2 linked regions of the Saccharomyces cerevisiae S288C genome follow. The protein of the gene in region 1 interacts with the protein of each later gene in a biochemical or structural test. Each region holds a gene or a part of one and is shown on either strand. Other genes may lie near its edges.

Region 1 (4,033 bases):
AATATAACAGAGTGAAGAAATGAAGCAATTACGCACAATTTATTGTACTGTGTTCATTCAAAACTCTTAAACATATTATTTTGGCATTTTCATGAGCCCCAAGATAATATCATTTGTTACGTAACATTCTCTATGACAGTAATGGTTTTCTTGAATGACACAAGTAACCACTACAACTTGGTGTGCAGAATAGTGATAGAGCGAACTGAAATTGTGGGTACCTAAATATTCTTTGATTATGAGCGGAGATATGATGCTCTTTCATGTTTTCCTGGCCTGAATTTTGGTATGCTCCTAAAAAAATGGCCAATTAAGTGATCGTGCCAATTCTCTCGTTTATTAAAGACTGTTCTGCTAATCGACTTTTGGAGCAAAAGCTTACTTTTGTTTCGAGCTTAAAAAATTTTTCTTGTGTGGAACTTGTATCAATTTCTCCTTATATTTATATATAATACAGACGTTATTGCTTTTCTATAGAAAAAAATAGAAACCAAAGTAGCAAAAAAGCAGTAAATATTAAAGTAAAGTTTACACACAATTCGTCATTTTTACCGCTAAGCCACATATTAGCTGATGAGCTCATCGTTACATTATTTGAGCCACAATTCACTAAAAAGCAGTATTTCAATCCTAGTCCTGTAAAAATAAAATACTCCTAGTCCAGTAAATATAATGCGACACTCTTGTGTTAAGGGCCTGCAGTATTTTCTGAACTATGTTCGTTTGAGCTTGAATTCTCTTCTTTTGAAGCTGGAGAGTAGCAAAGACTTTCCCCTTCAAAATTGGAGCTTGCAGAATTATGAAGCTTTTCTGAATAATCGAGAGTAACTTTTGAGAATCCTCCAAGTGATATTTCGTCGTCAAAGCTCTGTCCTTGCGTGACGTAAGGGATGTGCCTACTTTCTTTTAGGTCTATTTCATCAAGAATATCATCTGTTTCTTTATCAGCAAACAAATATTTTTTGCTTTTATTTTGAGATTTTCTAGGATCATCTGGAATCCTATAGTCGACATAGAAATGCGCTTGTGATATTGGTGTACCTACACAGGGAGAATAGTTTTCTGTACACGTGGAGATATAGTTCTCAGAGTCTGTAGAAAATGGGTTACGGCTCTCTTTGCGTGAGGACAGCTTGTTTAGCAATATGCCTACTCGTTTTTCCTTATTCTTATCAATGAATCTTTTCCACATGTCAAGTACAAATCCTAGTTTGATGGAACGCAGGAATTTAGAGTACATATGCAAAGCATCAGAACCTAAGCCAAAGATTAGAAATACTAGGTAAGACATCAAAACATAAAGCCATATATTATAAATTGGTCTGCCAGGGTCAAATTTAATAATGGTATTCCAGATGGTGCTGGAATGGGTATTTTTAAAAGTATAGTGTCCTTCTACCTGCTGTAAATCTTGAACAAAGGTGTAAACAGAAAAAGGGAACATGACTAAAATAATAATGAAACAGAATATCAACAGCCTTGCGAACCTTGTCAGGTTTAAACCTGAATTGGTACAGTGTAAAATATCCCTAACGTCCTTGCGTTTTTTATAAAACACGAACAGTACTAAGGTGGCATAAACAGCGCCCACAAATGACCATATAAGCATCCACATGGTATACAAAACAGTGGTAATCCATGTCGGAGACAATAAGTTTTGGCAACCGTTGTAACGAGCGATACCATATCTAAATACTTGTAACAGATATGAAAATCCCATGACCATGACAGGTGTGAACAAGCTAATCACAAGGTCCTTGACGATTTTCGTCCATGATGAAAGATCCGGTAAAACACTATCTGCCTTCAAAATTGTATGCAAGTTGTAAATGATGTTGGTAACGGCACATGATATGCCAATATTCGCACCAACCTGCAACTTGATGACAATATCACACCAACCTTTACCATCCCATCTCGTGAGGAAATCGTCGTCACTCCATATTGCCGCATCTACAATACACGTTAAATTCATTGTAAGAAGCCATGTTATCAAAATGATTGCTGGAATATTCTTGGTATGTGAATGCCATGCTAAAGGGGGAGCTAATAGTATCACAGCTAGCAAACAAAGCCCTATTATTGCTGACTTGTATGACATGAAAATTTTGATAGTATTTTGCCTTTCCTACACAAATTTAATTGCCTCTAAAGTTAAAAAGCAATAAAATAGAATATGTGAATACTGCACAAAATGAATACTTGGGAATTCAGAAATTATTCTTACCTTAAGCATCCACTCATATACATATATATATATATATATGTCTTTTCAAAAGACTTCTGCCCAAATTGTGGAGAGAACTCTGCCTCTCCGTGATAACGGCCAAATGAAACGCATCCAATGATGCAATTATTGACAAAGTTTCAAAGTTTCCGCCATTATTCCTTCATTTACACATTGATAGTCGAGAAGTTTCCTAATTAGTGTCACAATGACAGAGAAAATTGTACCAGCGCTTCTAACGAAAATTAGCACCCATACCCAGAGTTCATAAATCTGGCAATGTGGTACAATAATATAGGATTGGTAACATTTCAATTGTAAAATGTTTAACGTTTAGAGAAAAGGGGAGCCAGAACGCTTCTGGTGGTGTAAATACGGAGAAGTCACCTTAAATAGTTTTGTTCTGATAATTGCATTTTTTTGGAAAGATTTGGCTGCTTAAAAGATTCAAGCAATCAAGAGAAACATTACAAGGCCTGCTTGGCCGGTCTACTAGGCTGAAATAATAAGTTTCTGATTATGGTTATCACGGTAAATGATTACGAAAGGGTAAAGCAACGAATGGTTGTTTTATGGTAAGAATACTTTGGCGAATCAACAAATTGAAGTTGCGCAATGTGCGATTCGCTTATGTATCAAAAAAAACTAAAAAATGAATAGAGAAAATCATATATATAAAAGAAAAAAATATCGTACACCTCTTAGGTAACTTGGAATATATTAAACATGTAAAGAAGGAGAAAACATTAACCTGCATTACAATAATGAACAAGAGATGAAAAAATCCGTAAAGCTTCTGAATCGCGAAGCTCACTATCTATTCCATTATCATCATATAACATCATTGCACTCTTTATACTATTTTCAACAAAATTAACGCAGTTTTCCAAACTAGTACTTAGCTTGCCAATCTTGCCACAGGAAAAGATTTTTCTGGTCTTCTGTTTCAACACGTACTTCCTTTTTCCGACAAAATTCTCATCATAGATATTCTGGTTGCTGTTATTGTTGTTATTGCCAGTAAACTCTCTTTTCAATGCGACATCCCTAATGTCCCTTGAACGTAACGATACTAATAGACTTCTTGTGTAATCCGCCTTTAACAGGTCAATCTTCATAGAATTTGTTATTCTGCTCTCTGATTCTTGACCAGCAGGACATGCTTGCAACTGGAAAAAATTGTTAAAATGGGTTAAATACATTGTATATTTCGGCAATAGTTCCAGAGGTTTATTCATCAAGCCATCATCAATATCAGAATCAGTAGTCAAAATATCCGCATAAGAAGAGTTACCTGGAAAAATTTCGTAAGTGGAATTAAGGTCAGCCAAAGAGGGCTGACATATTCTTTCAAAAGCCTCATCCAAAAGATCATCCTGAGAGATCCTTTGGCAATCTCTTTTCAACTCAACGTTCTTTAGTGGAAATTTATATGATATATTCTTAACCAATGGGGGTGCGTGAGACACATCTCCAACATTAGGAGAGCCAGGTGTGCCCATCCAAGGATACTCATCATATTCGCTGATAGACGGTGATTGTTGCGGAGTGGTTAGTGATAACCTGGAGGTTGCTTGCTGCAAAGAAGACGAACTTGAAGTCCTTTGCATATTTCCAGCAGTTGTTTGCAGCCTCTCCCACGACTCGTTGTGTTTTAAAGAAGGGCTTGGTTGAAAGAACTGAGAAATTGTTGGCCTTTTGTTGAACCAAGAACCGTACGAACCAGGTTGGCTTGAGATAGAAGACGATAGATAATGCAATGAACTACTCCCACTTTTGAAGGAAGATGGCTGAATAACTTCCGCT
Region 2 (3,565 bases), on another chromosome or scaffold:
GTAATGCACTATATTTATTAAGACTCACCCGTTTCAAAGCCTTCTTGCTGGCAGTAGTCGCATCTTTTCTAGTTATTTGCAAGACTTCTTCCCAAAGCGCCTCATCATACAGTTTTTTCTGTAAAACTGTTTGTATAGCACCATGGCGCAGGTCAAAATCGTTCTCGAAGAAATCAGAATTAGCTTCTATTTGCTTCGAAATTTCAGACGCATTTTGCAATAGCAGGTTCTTGTATATGATCAAAGGTAAACGCATAGATTGCATCGATATTGTCATGTCAAATATCTGGAAAAGAATTTTATGAAGATTGTTGTCACCGCTATCTATAGGTTTCAAATTATGTGCAAAGATTGTCAATATTGACCCAATAGCGAAAAGGGGCTCATTTTCGTCAAATTTGAATAGATTATAGAATTTCATGTTTGATTCCTTTATCAATGAAGAGATTACTCTCAATTGCTCAAATGAAAAATCTAGTGAGTTCATCATGAAATCCCTCAGATATAATAGGGTAAATGCTTCGATGCAATAAAACAGCCTTTCCATATCAATTTCTTCTTGCAATGAGAGATTTTCTAGTTCCAGTCCGTTCTCTTTTGTGACATTCCAACTAAAACACATGATGAAAACAGACACAATATCATGATAACCTTGGTAATAGTTCAACGTTGGGTACTTTCTCAATACCCGAGTAATTAACTCCACCAGTAGTTTTCTCAATTGCAGTTTCAAGTTTTTGTCGACAATTCCACCAAAAGACCTTTCTGCATCCAATATCACCTGACCTTCATCTTTATGTTTTTCCACTGGTGTAATGTACTCTGTTGCATCATCAATAAGCAACTGGGACGCCAATAATTCATACCAACAATCTTTTCTTAATGAGTTGTTTACAAACCCCAGAGGCCCTAAACCTATGTACCTCAAAGCTCGGACATCTTTTTTCTCTAATAACTTTGATATAACTTTTCCTTTTTGTTCTTCTGCCTTTCCACTGTCACAACGAGAAAGTGATTCCAGATATGCGTTATAACCTCCCCTTGTCAACGCGTCTTTGTCGTGGCTACTCTGATTAGTATGAAATAATGACCTTAATGGCATCGTATTTTGTTAATTGGCTTGTTCTATGTCATTTGCTAAATTTTCTCTTTATTTCTTTACTTTGCCAATTCAAGATAATCTTCCCTTCCCAGAGAGAAAAAAGGAAAAATTTAGCTATGAAACCTCAATAAGCTTTTTAATACACCAAAGATTCAAGATAAGAGCATAGAACGAACTGTAGAATAGTCCGGATATGTTATCCAATGCCTGCCAAAATGCATTGTCACACGCTGTAGTGCTCGAATAGGTGTTGCAATCCGTCAATATACGTCTTGCTCTGTGGGTAAATGTCTCGTGCATTAAGACAGGCTAGTATAAACGAGAAGAAGTATCCTGCTTTGCAATGAAACAATAGTATCCGCTAAGAATTTAAGCAGGCCAACGTCCATACTGCTTAGGACCTGTGCCTGGCAAGTCGCAGATTGAAGTTTTTTCAACCATGTAAATTTCCTAATTGGGTAAGTACATGATGAAACACATATGAAGAAAAAAGCTTTCCTACATATTCAAGATTTTTTTCTGTGGGTGGAATACTATTTAAGGAGTGCTATTAGTATCTTATTTGACTTCAAAGCAATACGATACCTTTTCTTTTCACCTGCTCTGGCTATAATTATAATTGGTTACTTAAAAATGCACCGTTAAGAACCATATCCAAGAATCAAAAATGTCTGATGCGGCTCCTTCATTGAGCAATCTATTTTATGATCCAACGTATAATCCTGGTCAAAGCACCATTAACTACACTTCCATATATGGGAATGGATCTACCATCACTTTCGATGAGTTGCAAGGTTTAGTTAACAGTACTGTTACTCAGGCCATTATGTTTGGTGTCAGATGTGGTGCAGCTGCTTTGACTTTGATTGTCATGTGGATGACATCGAGAAGCAGAAAAACGCCGATTTTCATTATCAACCAAGTTTCATTGTTTTTAATCATTTTGCATTCTGCACTCTATTTTAAATATTTACTGTCTAATTACTCTTCAGTGACTTACGCTCTCACCGGATTTCCTCAGTTCATCAGTAGAGGTGACGTTCATGTTTATGGTGCTACAAATATAATTCAAGTCCTTCTTGTGGCTTCTATTGAGACTTCACTGGTGTTTCAGATAAAAGTTATTTTCACAGGCGACAACTTCAAAAGGATAGGTTTGATGCTGACGTCGATATCTTTCACTTTAGGGATTGCTACAGTTACCATGTATTTTGTAAGCGCTGTTAAAGGTATGATTGTGACTTATAATGATGTTAGTGCCACCCAAGATAAATACTTCAATGCATCCACAATTTTACTTGCATCCTCAATAAACTTTATGTCATTTGTCCTGGTAGTTAAATTGATTTTAGCTATTAGATCAAGAAGATTCCTTGGTCTCAAGCAGTTCGATAGTTTCCATATTTTACTCATAATGTCATGTCAATCTTTGTTGGTTCCATCGATAATATTCATCCTCGCATACAGTTTGAAACCAAACCAGGGAACAGATGTCTTGACTACTGTTGCAACATTACTTGCTGTATTGTCTTTACCATTATCATCAATGTGGGCCACGGCTGCTAATAATGCATCCAAAACAAACACAATTACTTCAGACTTTACAACATCCACAGATAGGTTTTATCCAGGCACGCTGTCTAGCTTTCAAACTGATAGTATCAACAACGATGCTAAAAGCAGTCTCAGAAGTAGATTATATGACCTATATCCTAGAAGGAAGGAAACAACATCGGATAAACATTCGGAAAGAACTTTTGTTTCTGAGACTGCAGATGATATAGAGAAAAATCAGTTTTATCAGTTGCCCACACCTACGAGTTCAAAAAATACTAGGATAGGACCGTTTGCTGATGCAAGTTACAAAGAGGGAGAAGTTGAACCCGTCGACATGTACACTCCCGATACGGCAGCTGATGAGGAAGCCAGAAAGTTCTGGACTGAAGATAATAATAATTTATGATCAAAATTTACGGCTTTGAAAAAGTAATTTCGTGACCTTCGGTATAAGGTTACTACTAGATTCAGGTGCTCATCAGATGCACCACATTCTCTATAAAAAAAAATGGTATCTTTCTTATTTGATAATATTTAAACTCCTTTACATAATAAACATCTCGTAAGTAGTGGTAGAAACCACCTTTGCTTTTACGAGTTCAAGCTTTTTTCTTGCCATGATCTAGAACTCTCAGGCAATATATACAGTTAATCTTTTTTTACTGGGTTGTAGTTCTAATGTATTGTTTCGAAAAATAGCAACCAGGCACATATTATGTTCACCAAGTGGTGTATCCAGTACAGATTTCTTATTCCATAAATGAAACTGAAAACGGTTAAGTACACAAATAAAATGATGGTAACTTTACCATCCCACGTGTCTAAAGGTACGCTGTTTGGCATTTTGAAAATAGAATTATTTCCAACCAAAAAAATAATTGGTGCCACTGCTAGTATATTGTGATG

What was found.
Region 2: the proteins of STE3 (region 1) and STE2 form a complex in vitro, tested with the Saccharomyces cerevisiae proteins (one study listed by BioGRID).

The regions. Positions count from the first base shown.
Region 1 is NC_001143.9:112,527-116,559, forward strand, and holds STE3 (Ste3p), read right to left. Parts: upstream 2,102-4,033; coding exon 689-2,101; downstream 1-688. Other genes in the region: LST4 (Lst4p), read right to left, coding at 2,974-4,033. UniProt on the Saccharomyces cerevisiae protein: Receptor for the peptide pheromone a factor.
Region 2 is NC_001138.5:80,811-84,375, forward strand, and holds STE2 (alpha-factor pheromone receptor STE2), read left to right. Parts: upstream 1-1,769; coding exon 1,770-3,065; downstream 3,066-3,565. Other genes in the region: GTPase-activating protein GYP8, read right to left, coding at 1-1,102; BST1 (Bst1p), read right to left, coding at 3,335-3,565. UniProt on the Saccharomyces cerevisiae protein: Fungal class D1 G-protein-coupled receptor that acts as an alpha-factor pheromone receptor performing pheromone-dependent signal transduction involved in cellular conjugation, mating projection assembly, and in cell fusion.